Caenorhabditis elegans: one gene and its partners. The protein of the gene in region 1 purifies or fractionates together with the protein of each later gene. This does not show direct contact. Each region holds a gene or a part of one and is shown on either strand. Other genes may lie near its edges. The genes, in order: herd-1, deps-1, znfx-1 and lotr-1.

The links.
Region 2: the proteins of herd-1 (region 1) and deps-1 purify together in Caenorhabditis elegans (affinity purification with western blotting; one study listed by BioGRID). This does not show direct contact.
Region 3: the proteins of herd-1 (region 1) and znfx-1 purify together in Caenorhabditis elegans (affinity purification with western blotting; one study listed by BioGRID). This does not show direct contact.
Region 4: the proteins of herd-1 (region 1) and lotr-1 purify together in Caenorhabditis elegans (affinity purification with western blotting; one study listed by BioGRID). This does not show direct contact.

Annotation. Positions count from the first base shown.
Region 1 is NC_003281.10:12,494,644-12,499,858, reverse strand, and holds herd-1 (Edg1 TPR repeats region domain-containing protein), read right to left. Parts: upstream 3,322-5,215; 5' UTR 3,316-3,321; coding exon 3,232-3,315; intron 3,188-3,231; coding exon 3,075-3,187; intron 3,026-3,074; coding exon 2,755-3,025; intron 2,708-2,754; coding exon 1,463-2,707; intron 1,391-1,462; coding exon 1,204-1,390; intron 1,147-1,203; coding exon 925-1,146; intron 872-924; coding exon 837-871; 3' UTR 512-836; downstream 1-511. Other genes in the region: sql-1 (GRIP domain-containing protein), read right to left, coding at 1-61, 171-296; Y111B2A.2 (Mitochondrial cytochrome c oxidase subunit VIc/VIIs domain-containing protein), read right to left, coding at 3,466-3,589, 3,635-3,771; Y111B2A.1 (Protein kinase domain-containing protein), read left to right, coding at 4,221-4,368, 4,429-4,493, 4,543-4,623, 4,690-5,215.
Region 2 is NC_003279.8:504,667-509,577, forward strand, and holds deps-1 (P-granule-associated protein deps-1), read left to right. Parts: upstream 1-1,806; 5' UTR 1,807-1,810; coding exon 1,811-1,921; intron 1,922-1,972; coding exon 1,973-2,079; intron 2,080-2,135; coding exon 2,136-2,350; intron 2,351-2,398; coding exon 2,399-2,559; intron 2,560-2,610; coding exon 2,611-2,742; intron 2,743-2,787; coding exon 2,788-3,039; intron 3,040-3,088; coding exon 3,089-3,229; intron 3,230-3,277; coding exon 3,278-3,382; intron 3,383-3,431; coding exon 3,432-3,665; intron 3,666-3,715; coding exon 3,716-3,825; intron 3,826-3,871; coding exon 3,872-4,091; intron 4,092-4,138; coding exon 4,139-4,210; 3' UTR 4,211-4,305; downstream 4,306-4,911. Other genes in the region: Y65B4BL.4 (Dolichyl-phosphate-mannose--protein mannosyltransferase), read right to left, coding at 840-939, 994-1,105, 1,154-1,383, 1,427-1,546; Y65B4BL.7 (uncharacterized protein), read right to left, coding at 4,306-4,548, 4,596-4,757. UniProt on the Caenorhabditis elegans protein: Component of P-granules which is required for P-granule formation and integrity in adult germ cells. Promotes the accumulation of glh-1 mRNA and localization of pgl-1 to P-granules. Involved in RNA-mediated gene silencing (RNAi) in the germline.
Region 3 is NC_003280.10:9,212,174-9,216,733, forward strand, and holds the start of znfx-1 (NFX1-type zinc finger-containing protein 1 homolog), read left to right. Parts: upstream 1-1,528; coding exon 1,529-1,695; intron 1,696-1,742; coding exon 1,743-1,948; intron 1,949-1,997; coding exon 1,998-2,112; intron 2,113-2,156; coding exon 2,157-2,243; intron 2,244-2,293; coding exon 2,294-2,389; intron 2,390-3,039; coding exon 3,040-3,478; intron 3,479-3,589; coding exon 3,590-3,910; intron 3,911-3,956; coding exon 3,957-4,560. Other genes in the region: ZK1067.4 (Transmembrane protein 151 homolog), read left to right, coding at 1-148, 230-625, 669-851. UniProt on the Caenorhabditis elegans protein: Epigenetic inheritance factor which, in association with the Argonaute protein wago-4, mediates small RNA-directed transgenerational epigenetic inheritance and thus balances the transgenerational inheritance of epigenetic information.
Region 4 is NC_003279.8:8,485,837-8,491,442, forward strand, and holds lotr-1 (HTH OST-type domain-containing protein), read left to right. Parts: upstream 1-1,781; 5' UTR 1,782-1,806; coding exon 1,807-1,875; intron 1,876-1,921; coding exon 1,922-2,055; intron 2,056-2,100; coding exon 2,101-2,415; intron 2,416-2,460; coding exon 2,461-2,664; intron 2,665-2,733; coding exon 2,734-2,909; intron 2,910-2,955; coding exon 2,956-3,028; intron 3,029-3,080; coding exon 3,081-3,328; intron 3,329-3,374; coding exon 3,375-4,213; intron 4,214-4,258; coding exon 4,259-4,508; intron 4,509-4,552; coding exon 4,553-4,812; 3' UTR 4,813-5,102; downstream 5,103-5,606. Other genes in the region: zhp-2 (Zip homologous protein 2), read right to left, coding at 165-245, 420-764, 810-923, 974-1,053, 1,105-1,207; cdc-5L (Cell division cycle 5-like protein), read left to right, coding at 5,470-5,514, 5,560-5,606.

The DNA of each region.
Region 1 (5,215 bases):
CGACACGCGAAGTTTCGATTGCAAGTTGCTTTTCGGCTTCAGCTGCCTTTTTTTTAGCTACCTGGAAGTTTTTTTTGGTTTAAAAAATTGATTTTTTATTTAAAATTCGAGTTTTTTAACTGAATTTTTCCAATTTTTAACAATTTTAACTTAAAATTAATAATTCTCACAATAATCTCTCCATCAGGATCTTGAACTTCTTCTGTGGCCTCTGCCAACACATCATTCGCCTCATTTAGCACTTCATTTGCCAAATCTGTTAATTGTCCTTGAATATTTCGTAACCATCCGCTCATTACTGGAAAAAAGCAACGTTTTTTTCTCAAAAATCAATAAAATCAAGGGATAAATATCGCATTAAAAGTGGATCTTTTCTTCAGGTTTCTCTCCTATCGCGTGTCGTGTGTGAAAACACGTGAATTGACGCGCAATTGCACACTCTAACAATATTCACAAAAGTTTCAGAACATATTTCTAAATAAATACCAGAGGCCAAATCTTGTCGTTTTTTTTTAATTTAAAAAATTCATTGAAAAGGAAATGGCCTCATGGAGCACCATTGAGTTAAAATGTTCACGTTGAGGAAGAAACCTCAACGTTAACATATTCCTAGGAAAAAATCGGGAAAAATTATTTAAAAAATTCCGAGGGTAATTATTTAAAAAATTCCGAGGGTAACAACAAAAAGAATACGGTGACTTAGGGCCACAACTCAGTGAAAAAGGGGTAAAACCATGCGAAATACATTTTACAACAAAAATCAGGAACGAAAAATTGAAAACAAAAGAACAAAAATAAAATGAACGTTTTAAACATTCCAGGGGCGATCAGTCGGCTTAACGGAACCCGTTCGTAGAGCTGCCATGCGCTCCTACAAAAATTATAATTAAAACAAAACATATTGGCTTTCTTTTAAAAACATACTTGATGTGGACGAGTTCATGCGAGATCCGCCAAAAAATGGACGATTGCCTGGGGACGCTGGTCGGGTCCAGTGGTCCATATTTCTCTCGCTTTCCGCCCACAAATTGCGATGAAGTTGAGCCATTTCCAAAGATTTGGTTAATGCAACTTGCTTGCGAACTTCACGTTCATGTCGTGCAGAGTTACGAGATCCATTGATTTCATTTGGTTTATAACGGTATTCTGCAAGAAATCAGAATTATTTACGAAATAATCGATAATTTAGTATCATTTTCCTACCAGTTGGCGGCCAGCGTTCCATAGATGTTTTGTCTGGAATGATGACCAGAGGCTGAATGATTTCCGATTTCTTTAAATCCTGAGTGCATCTTGGTCCAGTGTCCTCATATTTTTCTGTTGGAATGACCTCAATGAGCGAAGAAGCGATACGGTCGTGGTCCGATTCCGACGAGCTTGGAGCGAAAACCTGGAAATATAGAAATTCAGAAATGGCCGATTTTCAGAAATTAATTTTATTGAAAAATCAAAAAAAAATTACCTCCAAAATCTTCGCACAAATCTCTCTGATACGCTGTGGGCCGGCTTTTGCGATCTCGAAGTTCTCCTCAAACGCCTTCTTCATAACTTTCTCCAGCTGTTCCGTGGATTCAAACGTGACTGAGCTGTGACACATGAGCTCGTTGGCGCACGAGACGTCGAACACTCCCATCGTGATGATATAATCGAGGTATTCCGTGAGAACTTCGAGTGGATCTTCAAAAACTGAGATGTTTTGATCAGTTTCCAGTGGGATTTCCTCGAATATCTCTGCGACCAACGCGGATTTACAGCTTTTCTCATCTTCTACAGTTTCTGCTGACATTGGGCTCAGATTCAGCTCATTCATCTTCAAATTATCAACAGCGGTGCCTGATTTATCGCCAATCGATATCGCCGTCTTCACTGAAGATTGAGATGATGGAGACGAGCATCGTTCTGCGTCTCCTTTATTGTCCGATTGACCAAAAATTCCGCTTCTTTCGTCGAATGTCTCCTCAATTGCTCCATTGACTGCTTTGTAGATCGCTGATGGAATGCGTCGCTTCTCAACTTCCAGTGACTTGAACCACGTTGAACATGCGAATTCTACGGGCCACGGGAATTTTCTCAAAACCTCAGAAGTCAAGTAGCTCTTCGCTTCATCATCGAATGGCTGCTTCATGGATTGACCAATCGCCTTGAGAATCATTTTACAGTTTTCAATGACTGTATTCGAAACGTTCGCGTCATCAATAGTGTTGAGCAAGAAACAAATGATCGAGGGAGTCAAGAGAACTTTGTCAGCTGGCTTAGATCTCGCCGACGTGGCATACTCCAAATTATCGAAGTTTTCGACAATTTTTGCAGCAATCTCGCTCAAAACCTCCACCGATATCATGGGAATTCTGTTCTCTGTGTAGAGTTCGCAAAGCACCACATCCAGAAGTGCCCATGCGGACATCAACGCGGGTTCCTTTCCTGAGCATATGACTCTTGCGAGTTGTTCCAAATTGCGCCACTCTTCGTTACTAGTATCCACCCAACGCTTATTGAGGATCAATCTGCGGAAAACGAGAGCCATGAGTGATTCAACTCGATCGGTTTCGTATTCCGTGTGATACATTTTCAACCGACGATCGAAGAACAATTGTGGCACTTTTTGGCACACTTCTATGCAAATTCCGGCGATGTCGAAGTTCTTGAGGCATTGAGTGAACATTTCCATAAGAGTGGTGGCTGGTGAGTAGAGCAGGTGCCAGCGGAGCTGAAATATCGATATGAACCGTGATTCGAAAATAATTATATTTTTACCTCTTCCTGAAAATCATCGTCGACTTCTTTTGGATTTTTGGAAATTTCATCCAATAGGCTCGCAACTTTCTCCCTGAATCTGGGTACGAGCGTTTCGAAGTATGGCGTATAATCAATTTCGTGAAATTGCCATTCCTTCACGAATTCCTCCTGGAAGAACTGCTTGCTCGGCTCCGTCAGCATACTGTAGAGTTTCCGCATGAGGAGGATGTAGTCTTTGCTCAGTCCGACGTCCTTTTGAGTGATTCCTGCTTGGAAATACTGCGTCGCGCTGAAAATTTGTATAAATGAGGGTACTGAAGGTGACATTATTCACATACTCCAGAGAAAGGTTGGAGGTGTAGAAATCGTAGATGAGGAAGTTGGATGATCTGTCCAAAAACTGTTGAACTCTGATCTTGCTCACGTCGTAGTTTCTGTAGCTGTAGAAAATCTGAAAAAAATAAATATTTATAAGTTAAACACTTGGAAACTCACAGCCTCCAGCTCCTGCACCCATTCCTTGTTCATATCAAGAGTCTTCTTATCGGGCAGTTCACTCGAACTCTTATTCTCAGCCATTATTATCTGTAAAGGGAGGTTTTCGTTGTTACAAAATGGTTTTAAAAAAAGGAAGATATGCATGTGGTATAAAACACAATGTAAATACTGATCAAGAATGAAAGAAAACAAGACATAATAGTGCTTTGTTATAAGCAATTCATCGAAAATTTAGTGCTCGGCAACAGCTTTTCCTTTCTCCTCGTACAATTTCGCCAATTCCTTCGGACAAGTATGCATGTATCCCTTGTTAGCAGCGCAAATCTCCTTCATTCTAGTGTACGGATCGTAGTTTCTGCAAGTTTTCGTTGAGACAAACTTGTGCGAGGATCAGACTGACGCGAAAAATTCTTCATATTTGTTGTGACGTGGCCAGACGTAAAATGCGTTGAAGGCGGCAGTCGAGACGACAGCGACAGCCAGTGAAACGTAAATTCCGCGTTTTCCATATGATTGGAGCATGTTTCGGGTAGCCATGGCTGAAAAACGGGAATTATTAGGAAAAATAAAGTTTTTGTATCAAGAATATTGATAATTTAAAATATTTCGTGCAAAAAAAATGGTGAAAATCGATGGAAAACGAACAAACTTTGAAGGAAATAGGACAAAAATGAAAAAAAAACTTTTAGGATTATGAATTCACGCAATTGCGCAATGCGGCCGCCCGTGGACTACGGTAGTTGTGGAGTGTATGCAGCGTGTTTGCGGACTTGCGTACCGTAACCGGCACTTAAAAGTTTTTTTTTTTTTTTAATATAAGAAATTTAAATTTCAACCTTTTTCTTTGGTTTTTCAATTGATTTTCTTACATTTTACGAGAAAAAATACCTAAAAATATTCCAAATTCAATGCAAATGTGACCTGTTATTTCTATTGTTCCTATTCGACTCACTACTAATTTTGCCTAACTTGGCCTAAAATTTCAGATGAAACGTGCGAGCACCTGTCTCCAACACCACTCCTTACCGGCTAAAAAAGCCTATTCAAGCTGTGGTGAGAAGCTCGAATTCAGACGATTTGTCGACTTTCATGGCACAACTGACAAATCATTTCGCACGAATTGGGGAACCGATCGTAAGTTGTTTTAAAACTTTTAAAAACGTTATCTTTTTAAGAAATTAATTGAATTTTCAGTTGAAAATGTGTCGGTTCTTGGCGAAGGAGTTTTTGGCACAGTTTTTGAGGTTGCTGATGCTGAGGTTTTTTTGTTTTAAAATTGTGCTTTAAATTTTAAATCTAATATTTTAGAAGAAGAAGAAATTTGCGCTGAAGCTCTTCAAAGCAGGACACACACAGTTTGGATGCGAAGACTGGGTTCGCGAAAGTGAGGTATTTAAATAATCTATAATTTTTTTTCCCCCCATTTTTCAGCTTTCAATCCCCAATTATTTACAGATAATGAAATCTGTCGCCGCTGCTCACCACCCGAATTTGATCAAACTCGTGAAAAGTGGAAAAATGGCTTCAGTTCCAGAAGGATATCTCCGAATTGCTATTCTGATGGAATTGAGAGGAAAATCGTTATTCAGCGTTATGGATTCAACAAAGTCGGAGGTGCCGAACAAGGAAATCTCGTTCCCAATTGCAACGATTCGAGAAATTGGAGCACAGATTTTGTCCGCTATGAAGAAGCTGGAAAAAATGGAAATTGTGCATTTGGATTTAAAGCCAGAGAATATCTGCTTCACTTCCACGTGTACCTTCACCACGGAAATTAGGAAAGATGTGTGCTATATTTCACCTAGCGAGGAGCTCAATGTGTGTATTATCGATTTCGGAAATGCTCGAAAGAGCAACCAGGAGGATTTGAAATCATCGGAAGTTGTGCAGACACAAAACTACAGAGCACCGGAGATCTTCATGGGACTCCCTTTTTCGACGAGATCCGATGTCTGGTCATTCGGATGTATTCTCAGTGAAT
Region 2 (4,911 bases), on another chromosome or scaffold:
CGCCAATTGGATTTGTTCGATGGAGCGCGCTTGCACGTTTTTAAATTTATTTATTTTATTTATTGTTATTTTCCACCGATTTTCAATGTTTTCGGTGTATTTTTGCTTGAATTTTAGAGAAAAAGTTAAAATAAATGCAAATTTCCGATTAAAAAATCACTGAAAATGCGTAAAACTGAAAAATATGCTAGTTTCAGGTTTGTTGTCGTCGGAACTCATTATTTTACAGTTTTACGTATTTTTCACATTTTTAAACACTTTTTAGCAAACATTCTGCATTAATCTTGCTTTTTTACTTCTCTTTCCGATAAAAATACACAACTAATGAAGAAAATCAGTGACATAATAATAATAATAATAATAATAATAATAATAATAATTTATTACGCTCGCTGGGAGACGTGAAGGAATACAGAATACAAAAGTTATCATTGTTCGCTTGAACTAGAATTGGTGCAGTCGGGCAATCGTTTCCATTCCATTAAAATGTTGTCCTTGTCCTTGCGTTGTCCTTGCGTAGACTCCCCCATAGTGGGCGAGCGATTCCCGAGTGAAAATAATCACGGAATGAAAAAATAGAAGAAAAATAGAATAAATTAATAAAAAAAATAATGCAAGCGCGCTCCAACGAACGAGTTCAATTGGCGGTAATTCAAATAGGAATTAGGCAAAAACTTTTTCAGATTTTTTCAATTTTCAAAAAATCATATAAAATTTATAAATTTTTTTTGAAGTTTTTTAACGTGATATTTGGTCATTGTGGTACCATAGGCGTGTTTTAAAGCAATTTCCCCACAGGGTGTAGTCCACATTTAAAAATTAAAAATTAAAAATTCTACCTAACAAAATCGAAAATTTCAGATTCTCCTTGATTAAAAGCTTTATTATTGAGTAAAGAGTCCGCAGCGTCCACACGGAGAGCGGGTACAAGATGGAAATCTGAAAATATTTAGGATTTTCAAGGGAAAATATCGATTTTTTTTAGCAAAATACCACAGAAATTGCGGATGGAATGAGTAGAAGAGCCGGGTTGACTTTCCGGGGAAAGTTTCGACGTGTGATGCTCGTCTCGGAGAGCCTCATTCCCAAGAATCCGGTTGCGATGCTGAAGAAAATCGATGGAAAAAGTCTAAAATATCCCCTGAAACCCTACCTAAAAATCAGAAAATACGAGAAAATATTGATTAAATTCCGAGCCGGCACATAATTCGGGCGGATCAGCACTCCATTGAAGTTTCGAAACGTTTCGCCGTTCCACTGAAGTCCATCGAAGCCGGGAACGGATGGCGGCTCGAAATGCTCGTCGACACTCATTTGACTGGCCCTGTAGAGCCCGATGATGGCAATGGCGAGCATTCCCACTTCCACATGGAATATCAGGCTCTGAAAATTAAAATTTAGCTTTTAGACGGAAAAAATCGATTACTTTGACATGAACTTGATCGAAAAGCCAGCGATACGGGTATTTTCGGTGCAGGCGGCCTGATTCCGGACGTGCTCCTCGAGATATATTGGAATTTGTCGAGCGGATACTAATATCTGCCATTTTTTCGCTGAAAAATCAGAAAAAATAAGTTTTAAAACAGAATTTTAATGGAAAAATAAACGGAAAAATTCGAAACTTTTTTTTCCGCCATTGAACACCAATGTGCCTTTAAGGTACGGTAGCTCTTCGTGGTGAGACCACTGCGCCGCGCATCTGATTTCTCGTGGGAAATTTGTTTCGAATCCTACGTTTTTTACAGATTTTTCTTTTTTTTCGTTTCGCTCATCATTTTTTTGTTGCAAAAAATCCAATTTTCAGACAAAAATGTCAGAACGCCAATCCAAATATTTTGACTATCAAGGTATCGTCATTTCCTCCACTGGACAAGATAACCAAGATTCGGAGACGGACCTCGTTTATCTCATTCAAGCTCATGTACGTGAATTCCCTCCGTTTTCATATTTAAAATAATAAGCTCGTTTTCAGGGAAAAGCGGCCCCGAAGAACATCATGTACGGTGTCTCCAAGTGCGCATTTGTTCCAACAAACTTGGAGAGGAATTTCGATAATATCGAAGAGGCAAAAAATCTTGAGTCAGTATTTATTTGATTTGAGCCCATTTTTAATCTGTTAACACTTGAATTTTTAGACGTCGATCCAAAATCCCGCTAAAGTTCGGTGAAGTCATCCTATGGAACGAATCGGACTGTGATCACGATAAGAGGATAATCCTTCATATCAAACGAGAAAAACCAATTTATGAAGCGTCTTCCAGCAGAAATGGACTTATTTTGAAAGTCGGTGGCGTCATCCAGCCCACCTCAACGACCTCGTTCTGGACGCCATTATGCACCGTCACCATGCGTATGTTTCTTCTTGATTTTCGTCTCTCTAACCATATATTTATTTCAGCAGAGACAGAGGCGACCCGTGCGGAGCCAGACGTTTGGCTATACGCCTGGATTCGATTCGAAACTACCATGAAGAGTGGTCTAGATCCTTTCAATATGACTGCAACATTCGAATCGTTTGACAGTTGCGATCCATCCGACCAAGCACGCGTCTGTGAAGCGGTATTTGCTTTTTAAAAATTTTTTACGGGATTTTGAACAAATAACTTTCAGCCATGGAACGCAGGCTCTCCTGACTCTAAATTCGGTGTTTGGCGCCCGGATCCAAAGCCTGCTGATAGCGACGACGAAATTGATATCGAGCCGAGAGAAGGCTGGCACTTGCCAGAAGACAAATGGGCCGAGGTTAAGGTTGCTTTGTGGATTCTCGTTGACAATTTGATTTTGCAGGTCATCAAGATGCAGCTTGGCCTGTATGTCGGCGAACGCCTACTGATTTGCAAAGAACTCTCGCAGTTCGACTTTATTATCCCACTGCAGAAGCCATTTTCCCGAGGAACGGACAAGACTTTGATCTACCCAGCCGTCGGAGAATACTTTCATTTCAGTGCTATTTGGTCGATGCAGCACAACGGTTTTCTGATCTATGAGCTTCAGCCAGTTCCACTTCTCAGACAGCATGTAACCTCTGTCAACGGAAATGTAAGTTATAATATTGATTTTTTTGTCCAGAACATAATTTTTATTTCAGCTCCTTACCCGCGTCGTTCCTGCCAGTATCAGAGGTCTCTTCGTTGACAAGGAGGGCACTCTTGGATTGATTGATGACCCACACCATCTTCTTTCATTCTTCGAGTTTCATCCAGCTGGTTATGAATTCTTGAAGGCTATGGTAATCATGAGTGGGTCTTATTTTGAAACAAACGCTTTCAATTTTCAGGCCGAAGTTCGTGCTGTTCGAACTTCAGAAAACAAATCTGTCCGTTACCGCATTGTTCGTACATCGGGAATGTCCATTTTTGAAAACTGGCTTCGTGATACTCAGGTCTCTAAAGTTAAATTAAACTCGTCCTTTTCACCCCTGAATTTTTCAGTTCGTTGTTGGTCCAGTCAAAGGAATTCGAATCAATGAAGACACTGTCATTTGTGCCAAACATCCGAATGTCTACTTCAAAATCCCCAATAACTTGAAGGAAGGAATCCCCATTGGCGGAGGAGTTCAATTCGTTGGAAAGCGACAAGCTGGAGTCGACAGTGAAATTATGATCACCGAATGTTCTCCATGTCCAGCGTTCACTTGTAAAAATTACTCGGTCTCTGGTGATACGGTTAGTCTTCAATTATTTAATAGTTTTTATTCTATGAGGAAAATATTCAGCGCTTGTTCCAAGTGTACTTGAAGCCAAATTGCGATCATGAGCAGTTGGCGGAGAGTGATTCGATGGGATTTGTGGATTTCAGAGAGTTGGAGACTCCATGTAGAGGAAAGTGAGTGTGTCAGGATTTGTAAAAATAATTGTAACTGAATTTTAAGGTTCCTGGCATGGGTCCGTGAATCCATTACTGTCAATGATTGTCGCCGTGCTGCTACCATCATGGAAGTATGCTCGACAGCCATCTGTCCTCCGTTGATTGCAATGAGCGCGAATTCGAGCAGAGCAACATCGGCCAGAACTACGCCAGCTGGAAGTTCCATTGGATCCAGATCATCAATTCAATCAAGAGCATCTGCAGCTACTTCAGTGAGCTCAAACGTAAGTTTATTTTTAAGGTTGGAAGATGATAAAAACAAGTTTTTCAGCGATTCGTTGGCCCTTCAAGCCGCAGAACTCCATCTGGTACTCCACAAAGCTCAACATCTTCCAGGGTCTAATTAAATATATACGCATCCCGTTTTCCCCCGTATTTGTGTTTCAAATGTTCTGCTCATTTTTAATCTACCCGTTATCCAACCAAACATTTATTTATTTAAACTTCAAGTTCCACCACCATCCCATTCCGCACAACTTGTCTCTCGTAATTTTCTCGTGCTCTAATGAAGTTGTGGTAGGTTATTCTAGTGAATACACCCATGTTAAGCAGCGAATACATCCAGAAAAGTCCCAACAAGCCGGCAGCGAGATACTCCCCCCAAAATGATGGTTGATCGGTACATCCAAGATAGGGTAGCATCGCGATAGACGTGAGCAAGTTCGTTATGCACTTGAAAAACTGAAATTTCAGAAAAGATTAGGTGTATCAGAAGGTTAAAAACAAACAAATGACATATAGATGAACGAAGCCAGTGATGGAATCGGATTCCGAATACGAGAAGCCATTCCCGGAGATACTGTGATAAGAATCTGTGTGATCGAGAACACAATGAGCACACCCACCGGGAACATGAATTCCATGGAAACACGGAGGCAAAGGTCACAGTACTGCAAAAAATGCGAAATTTTGGCGATTTTTGCTCTAAAAAATGCACTGGCCGGGTCTCACCACGACAAATTTTTGTTGTCAGTTGAATGCCAATAGAGTGTGCGCCTTTAAGGAGTACTGTAGTTTCAAACTTTTGTTGCAATCGATTTTACA
Region 3 (4,560 bases), on another chromosome or scaffold:
GAATTCGGTCAACTACACGGGGCCATTAACCAGAACATCAACTATGGATACTGTTGAGTTGGAGGCATTGTTGAGGAGAGAACAACATTTCGTTGTACCATCGTACAGTGAAGTTATGCTCATGCAAAATACGATTGCTAATTCAAATGTAAGGTTTTTTTTAAATATTAAAATTTTAAGATCATTTGCTCCTGATAAATATTTATTAATCGCTCTGATAATATTGTAGACCAATTATCCAAATATTCGATGCCTGGACCCTGTGATTCTTCCACGACCATTCGTGAGTACAACTAACGAACATATCGTACTTCGGAACTATGGAGCAACAGAAACCGACAATTCACTATCTGAGCCCATTACAGCAACGCCGAGACCTCTTAGAGTTAGCCGAAGTATGACATTTGCTGCTCAAGGAAATCTCGAAGAATCAGCTGAGAATCTGAGTTGTTTAGAAAACGGAAGTAGAGCAAATCGTGCTATTCCATCGAGTCGGCGGAATTTGCCGTTACGTTCGTTATCGATAGGTGGTATTTCTGCTTGGTCCAATGGTTACAGAGAAATTGGAAATCCTGATGATTCACAACTACTCATTGAACCAGATGAACCACCTCCACCATATGAGGTCGGTTTTCAATTTATAATGGAAATGACAATTTATTTCTCAGGTTGCTCTCAGAATGTGTGCTCCATTATATGAACGCCTACGACGATCAATATCTTCACGATTGGCTTCAATTTCTCACTCGAGCTCGAAGGATTTGAAGTCGCTAACTTTGAAAAGTAGTTCTAGTAACAATAATAACAATAATTCAAACAACAATAATAACGATGATCCAGAACATCCATAAAATCGGGTATTTTTTCACATGCGGACCAATTTTAAGAATTGTTAAACGTTGGTGCTTGAAATAAATAATTTTTCTGATTTTTTTTTATTTTCAAGTTTAAAAAAATTGTGTTTCAAGTTATTCGATTAAAAGCGTTGTTTTTATTGCCTTATTAAATGGTAAAAAGCAATCAATTTTTAAAGGAGCGTCCACTGAATACGAGGAGATGGTCTCGGCACGAAATATAAAAAACTACAGTACCCTTGGAAGTATTGGCGCGGAAATTTTTTTTTATTCAGTTATTTATCTGTTCAGTTTTCGTATTTTTGATGTTAAAACTCCATTTTTCTCTTCAAAATTTGTATTAAAAATCACTGGGCAACGCATTTTCACTATTACAGAAGTATTTTTGATGAAATCTTCAAGAAATTCACATGTTTCTTTGTTTAAAATTTTAGGATTTGACGGTTTCGGTTTTTAGGCCAAAAAACTCCGTTACCAGTTTTAATTTCGTTCTGATTCCGTGAGGCAATGCTTCACTAATCACATTTTTCACGAAATACAAAGTCTTGCTTGAAAATTTAACAAAAAACTCCAATACTCTCGCAAAATCTTGAATATGGCCATTTTATTTGATGTAATTATTTCTTTTACAGATAAATACTTCAAACCAACCAATCCATCTATCTGACAAGCTAATGTCCAGAGATAAACCACCTCAACGTGAGGTTGGCGGACGTCGGTTGCCCTACGAAATGGGTTCGTTGAAGTTCGACGAAGACCCGTTCCGCGGACAGCGCCGGCGTCCGTGGATGTGCTTCAGAATCGGCTATCCGACAAGCGAGTTCTCATCAGAGCACTTCATGTACGTTCAAATTATTCAAAAATTATTGAAAAAACGTATTGTTTCAGGAAATTCGTGAAAAGGTGTCACACTTCGATGATAGAAGTAGGTATTCTTCTCGATGATGAACGGGAATTCCTGCAATATCAAGAAGTCAGGGAAGATTATCTTCTTCTGAAAAAGCTCATCGAGGAAGGTCTGCAGAAGTGTGAAACGATCTATGAAAAAGGACCGCTGTCGACTCCGGTTGTTTTTTTCATTTTAGACCAGTGCGGTAAGAAAAGTAAATTATACATAACGTGTATAAATATTCACTCATACAGACGAAGACGAAGTCCAAAACATGCTGGATATGTTTAGGGAGTCTTGTTATATCTTCCATATGAAACGCAACGAAATTCTCAACTGGATCAACGAAATGGAGTATGAAGAACTGGAGTGAGTAAATGTTCAGCATAACGTCGAAAAAATTCATATTTCAGAAGTGACTGCTCTAAATTTGCACAGTTCATCAAAGGAGTGGAAAATCTGACGGAATCCATCGCGATGCCCATGGAGGTAGAAACAGAGTAGGCTATCTAGAAGGAAAAAATAATTAAAAAACATCTAACTTTCATAGAGAATTCATCTTTGGAAAGAGTTCGATTGTATCGACCGAAGACTTTGTTGAAGACGCCCCTCACAAGCAGATCGCACAAGATCAACGCGAAACAAGGTATCGTTACCATGTTGTAAACTTTCTATTCAAAAATTTTGCAATATCTCTTCGTTCATATTAGACTTATGGCCTAGCTATTTCTTTCTTTTTCCACACGTCCAACATAGATAGACAGTTCGAGACGTAGAGAAAAACAGAAAAACCGTGACTAGTTGCTTCCCCTGTGATTGATATGCTTTTTTTTCACAAATTCGAAAAAAATAATCTGAATAAGCATGTTTTCACATCAGAATTTGTTAAACAGTGTGTTTGGAAATACTGAAATATTCCCTTGACTCGCAGGATTTAACGAATAATTATTTCAAAATTTTCGATTGTTTTTCTCAATAACATCAATAATTTTTCCTGAATTCCTGATATTGCTTTTAAAAATATATAATAGAATTGGTGACCTTTGTTAAATCATTGATAATCGCAGTGGCTTTTGTTTTTATTCTCGTTTCATAAACAACGTGAATCGTGGTAGCGGAAAAAAAACCACATTTATCGTGTTCCCATCTTTCCCCAGAAACCTGGCCGCGTTCCTTTTCACTGTAGTAAACGCGGATTTTTGTGGGCATACTGATTTCGTTAGAAAATACTTTTTCTTAAAATGCTAGAGCTCTCCGCGTTCTCTCATAATGTATAATTAAATTATCTTGTTTCAGACCAATTCGCCAACCGTATTCAATGGTCAGAAACCTCGCCCCCCCAGGGCTCCCGCCGCCTGGAATTTCGATTTCAAACAGTTCGCCTCCTGGATTATCTTCAGTTTCGCCAATTCCCCGAGCAGATACACGCGAATCCCGTTATTCCACCCCTCAACCACCCGGATTGTCAATTCCAGCACCACCTGGAATATCTCTTCCAACTCCACCAGGAATATCTCTTCAAAATCATCAGAATGATCAATTCGAGCAAGCTCATAGTACCATTTCGAGAATGAGCGAGAATAGTTCATCTTCGAGGCGTCGATTCCGCGATGAAGAAGTTCAGGAAGAAGAAGGAGATCATATTCTATCGTCTGAAGATGTACATGCTGCGCGGAACGTGTGTGAAACCAAAATCCTTGTTAGAGGAGTTCCGCAAAAGAACGATTCTGAGTTGGTAAGATCTATTCATTTTTGTGATAAACTGCAACCTGTGAGTTATTTCGGCAATTTCCGGAAAACTAATCTTCAATAAACACGAAATTAATATTAAAATTTTAATTTTCAGTCCAAGCTCATCAACGGATCAAAACTATACGTACGGTTCGAACGTCCGTTTGTAAAACTAGCTCACAATCTAGAACTTCTCTACGTTGTCAATTATGCTATCAGTTCTCGAAAAAGTATTGTTCGGGATCACAGTAAAGCAATTATTCGCGGATTGTTCGAAAAGGATTTTCTACTGAAGCTCAAAAGTAAATTCCTGGAAAGCTCGTTTGACAATGACACGTGGACTCCCGAGGGTACAGAATTGCTATTCGAAATCTTTCATTTGTTTTTCACAACGGCTCGATACAAGGGTGGATTCATGCTGACACTTCCGAGATTTGTAAGTTGAAATAAACTGAAAATTTTAAAAGTAAACATTATTATAGGCGCCGTCTTGGCATGATTTCTCGATGGCTTTCGATATTGCTGACATGGATGGACTTGAGGAAGCTGGTGTGGGTGATGATGAGCTTAGAAATCTTAGGAGGCTGATTGGTTACATTGAAACATGGATCAAACGGGCAGAACGGGAACGAAACCCCAGTCCATTGGCGCTGCGGTCATATTCAGTGTACGAAAAAGCTGGTTCTTCTGACAGTGGACGCCAAGTTTTATCTGAAAGTCGAGGTGCAGGTTCCAGCAATGTTTATGGTCATGACGAGGTGGATTTCGTCGATCACAGACGCAGAGACGAGTTCGGACATCGTGATAACTACCGGACAGAAAACCGTCGCCATAAAAGCCCGGACAATTTTGGAGAAGTTCACAGAAGGCTCGATGAGCAACAACAACAACGACATGAGGATGAATCATCAAGATATCGCGATGACTCGAGACAGTCTCGACGAGCAGATGATAGAAGAGATCAATATCAGTACAACGAATCAACATCTATGGAAAATCACTTGGGGTTTCACAACGGCGGTGGCACCGTCAGTGAGCACTCACGAGATGATAAATTCGTTTCGCCTCAAAATTGTGAAGAAAAAC
Region 4 (5,606 bases), on another chromosome or scaffold:
CTGCAGGTGATGTTACAAAACGATAAAGATGCAAATACTGTGAAAGTGAAGAGGGGAATAAATATTCTTTGGGAGATATTACGGGGGCAATAAACCTTTGATTTTGAATAGAAATAAAAATTGTGGAAAAAGGATAAAAATACGGAGGTGACATACAGGGAGTTTTATTGACGAAGAATTGGCGACGGATGCTCAAGTCCTGCGCCAAACAATCTATTCCTATGATCACGGCGACTATAATCGATCTGGAAAAAATTACACTTAATCAATCACAGCAATTGCGAGCGGATTAATGAAAGTTCCATGATTCAAATGATTTCTTGGCAATACACCCGGCAGCCAGATGTTTTGGATTGACATTAAAGATTATCCAAAATACCAAGTGTACTGGGGACTGGAAAACAGGAGATAAAACTAACATTGGAGAGAGGAGTGCTGGTGAGAATCTTGGACGTTGACTGATCACGCAGGTTTAATGAAAATTCATGACTAGCTTTTCGCATCACAGAGGGAGGACCAGTTCGGGATATCTTCGAGAAAGGCGGCTCAGTTCGAGTGTTCGATCGGCGTTTATTTACAGAAAGATTTTGAGATGGTTGTTCGCGTAGTTCCTTCAGCCTGGCCATCAGCTGATTCTTTTCCTCTTTTGCATTTTTCAGTTTGACATTATCTTCAAGGAAAGCTTTCTTTCGTTTTTCGATTTCTTGAGTCTTTTCCACGTGTTTTGAGCGTGCTTCGGCGAATCGCTCGGTATCTTTTTTCGCCTGAAATTATTAATTTTATTGGTTATTCAATTGTCAACAGATAACCTCGGCGTTTTTACATTTTACATATATTTCTCGCTGTTTCGCCTGAAATGCGACAACTTGTTTCAGCTCGTTGACCAGGTCTGACGCCAGCTGTCGCGGATCTTTGAACAATTCCTGAGATGGTTTTTTATTTAAATTGAATTTTAAGTCGACTGAAACATTACCATCAAATCAGGTCGCAAGTTTTTATTGATTTCATCCACCTTTAGCGGTTTTTTACACAAGTAGCACTGCGAGTTAAATGCTAAAAATGCTATATAAATTCTAGCTAAATTTATTATTAAAATTTACTAACCAGCTTTCGTACAGTTTTGACAGAAAACGTGACCGCATGCTGTTAGGTACAGTTTCGTTTGATTTGGTTTAATGCCACAATGATTGCATTGGATCCAATCCATACGTGTTTCGAGTCTTAAAATACGATTAAATAAAGCTCAAAGACTTCTGCTAGATAACAAGTAATTATTAGAACATTCATCTCGATTATCACTATAACTCTCTAGTTATAACTATAAAACAATTTCAAAAAAGAACTTTGAATATAAAGAATGAACAAACAAAAAATGTTTGATTTTAATTAAAGACCGGCAGTGCACCTAAGTTGGATTAGCATCAGAGATCTTAATCAAGAATCAATCTTCAAGCATTACATTATTTTTGTTTATATTTTGAAACTCGATCGAGAAAGAAACAAAATTAAATAAATCGGTTTTCAAGCTTTTCAAACTTTAAGTGTATCAAAGGCGCAGTTAATTCATTGCAATAGATGGTCTCACCCGGAAAATGCGTACGCTGCAGTGGGTCTCACCGCGAAAGTGCGAATGACTAAAGTTTACGCGCGCACGGCGCGCGGCTTCAGATTCAAAATTGAAAGTTCATCTATTTCGTGGATATTTTTCAATGGATTTGGTTTTATGTACTTTTTATTTGCCGTGATCTTCGAATATTTGTTTTAATCAAGTTGCAGTTTAGGTCCATCGTTAACTTATCCCGCGAGATGCCTGCTAATGAGCTTTTCGGAGATTCTGATCCGGAAGGGGATGAAATTTTTGAAAGAGTTCGAAAGGTATTCAATTATCTGTGAAGGTAAATAGTAATAAACACATTTTCAGGTGCAACCAAAGTCGATCAATGTAACTGAGAATCAAAAGGTAGACCCTATGCGTAAAGTCAAAATCGAGCTTCAAGCTGTTTTGGTTGCGGAAAAAATACCAATTAGTACAGAAGAAATCAGACGGCGTCTGCTGTGAGTTTCTTTTTGCGAAAAATAACGACACTACCTTTGTTTCAGGGATTCTTATGGTGCATGTCCTGATCCGAAAAGATATAACTGTTCGACTTTGGACGATCTTCTTCAAGCATGCTCGGAGTCAATTGTACACACTTTCGGCCGTGATGGAATACACCGATATGGGCCAAGAACTACTGAAGCCAACCAAGATATTATCGAAATGGTCCAGCAGCAGTCGAGCTCAAAACGCCCGGCCCGCTCGTTTTTAGGTTCAGGAGCTACTAATAACCTCAGCACTCATGGGTCATCATTCCGGGCATTCAGAGGTCCGTATGCGTCAGAGGAAATCGCTAAATCGAGAGGAACACCTGAGCAGTATGTGGAAGTTTAAAAAATCGTTGTCAATGATTTGTTTTTTAGATTCAAAGCAAGACACAAGTTGGGTCCAGCAAAAACAATTTCTCGCGTAAAAAACCTTGCAGAGGTTTTGAAAGAATATGCTGATGAGATAGGAGTTTCACATCCTGATGAGCCAAATCGCAAGATTGTAACACTGGCAGCTCTTGCCAATAAGTTCAAACAGTTGTATTGTTTACCAGCATGGGGAAAGAACATATCGGAAAGGTAATTCACTTGCGCAAAAGTATTGTTGCGCTTTTATAGTCAGTTCTAAATTGAATGTTTTGATTTCAGTGAACTATACATTCAGCTCAATGTTCCTCCTTTCAACGAATATCTGCATTTCTGGCGTCTTAGCGAAAAAGGTGACATCTTCGTTGATTGTATTGATCGTGACAATGCCGATCCAACTCAAAAAAGTGAACAAAATCCGTCAGCAGATGTTTCTATTCAATCTGAATCTTTTGGCGGTAAAAGTGATCAAATGATGCTTTCCAATAGTAATTTATTTTACAGGTTCAGCTTCAGCGTTTGAACAATCTGTAGTATCCGCTCCTTCAACTATTAGAGATCAAACATCCGATTCCTTGTAAGGGCACATTTTGATCACTGTTTTTCAGATGTTATTTATCAATTTTCAGTGACGGGTTCAACAGTTTCGAAGTGCCCCCAGAAAATGGAAGCAAAGATTCAAAAATTTTCAACTCGAATCAAGAAAGCATCGATGACTATCCAGGAAATGCTATATCTCGAGATCGAACCGCTGATATGACCGACATTGCATTGCGCTTTGGAACTGTCTCTGTGGCAAGCCAACAATGTCCGGTATCTTCGTCACTCGTTCCACAAAATGGAATTCTTCGTCAGTCGCGTGCTCAAGAAGACGACAGTGAGAAAACATTTTCGCTGCTAATGAACAAATATTGAATTTACAGACAACACATCTATTCTAACTATTCAATCATCTCGTCGCAATCATTCAGTGCTTCGTCATCGTACGATCAAGCCTCGCAATCCAACACAAAATCTTGCTGAAGTCGTAAAAACTCATGGTAGCATTCCTTATGAAGCGCTTTCGGATTGTGATAAGATTATCGTCGACTTAGGAAAGAACATTTTCAAAGTTTATGCAACTCAACCTGGAGAAATGATGGTCCGCCTTTGTGATCCCCACGTTGACACGACTACATTGCCACTCCTAGAGAACAATCTTCGGGATCCTGTCGAGTCTGATTTACGTTGGATGACACTGGGAAATTCCCATATCAAGAAACAATCTGTTAAAGTGGTCAAGCCTGCAATGTTTATTGCGCCACGCGGATTTTTGTTGATTTTAAAAGATGAAGAACGTGAAGAAATGGACGTTGAAAAGGTTGCTACTATGGGGAATATATTGCGGGCCGTGATGGTAGCGCCTATTGTGGAGCTCCAGCGTGAAACCGTCCGCACGGGATCAGCTGCAGTCTACGTTTATCGACAAGGAGCGGAGGTGCGCTATTATAGAGTGTTGATAGTTGGACAAGCTAAACAAGATGGTGAAGTGTTGGTTTTGTTGGCTGATGTCGATGATCAATATTTCGTGGATGTACATCTATCTCATTTGTTCCCGATTCCGGAAGAAGCCAGCTTCAAACACTTTCCCTCGAATGTTGTATTCGCAACATTGCATGGAGTACTGGGTTTGACGCTTTCTGAGCAGGATGTGATGTTCGAAAACATTGATAATGATGATACAAAACGATTTGTGGGTGGATATTTTCATGGAAACGATGACGTGAGTTTACAGATGGTTGTTTAGAAATTTGTTTAATGTTTGCAGAGAATTCTTAACATCGATATGGTTTGGAAAAATGAGCGTGGTCAATTTGAGTGGCTTTCACAAATTGTCAAGAGACGTGGAGCAGTTACTTCGTCCGATGCCAACATCATTCACTTTCCACATTCTGCACTCGATGTGATAAAGTCTGTTGGACCAGATTGTTCGGTGTGCTTTGTCGACTATTCAGTTCGTGATGAATCTGCAACATCTTCATTGATGGAATCGACTAGAATTGTTCATGATAGTCGTGGTTTGTGTCAAAATCGTTAGATTTTAAAATCATTTTCGTTTCAGAATCTATGACAACTACTTATGTTGGTGAGATGCCAAGCCCAATTATCGAAGAAATCGATGCAACATCTTCATTTGACCCAAAACTCTTGAATCTCCATTCATTGTTCGATAAGTTAATCGAGGAACAGAATGTTACTATGATTGTGGGGATGTTCCAATTCGTTCGAAGTTTGAAGGATTTATTCGGCGATAACAATGAATGGGAACGCTTGCTCACGTACATGCTCACGACTGGTAAAAACAATAACATTCGTCTCTGAAACATTTCTAATCCACGTGTCAGATTTTCACATCTGTGCCATTAAAACTGCACGTTAGCAACATATTCCATAATCTTATTTGTGCCCCTTTCCCTATAGAATTTTCAGAAACTCGTTTTTGTTTCTTCTTTTAACAATAATTTTTCATTGTTTTATAGCTGTTTTCACATGGTTTCCGATTTATGTGCATTTAGAGTACACTTGTGATTTAAACTCGCAAATGTTAACTCTACCCAATATGTTTCTTTTTTATATCTAATTCGTACTGAAAATGAAGTTTTTATGCGCACTGTCGATCTTTTTTATTTAAAGGCGGTTAATGGCCGTGGCCTCGTATTGTCCTTCGTGTACTAGTCCTCCACATTTCGAAAGCGAGCTCCATTCGAAAAATACACATTTTCTTCTTGATAGTTTCTGTTTTGCCTTTTTGTTTCAGTAATCTCCATGTATTCTGCGGGAATTTTTAGTATCGAATTATTTAAAAATCAATACAACTTGTTCGTAACACTCGTTAGCTTTCAAAATAGTAACGTTGATTAAAATATTTACCGAGTTGACTTTATTTTAAATTCTTTAATCTATCAAATTGGTGCCAAATTCAATTTTTACCATTCAAATTCGCAAATCTAGTTTTCGTTGCAGTAAGCAAAACCAAACATGGTGCGAGTTATTATCAAAGGAGGTGTGTGGAAGAATACAGAGGTTAGTTGCAAATCAAGTTGTTTTCACAAAAATAAAACGTTTCAGGATGAAATCCTCAAAGCAGCTATTATGAAATACGGAAAAAATCAATG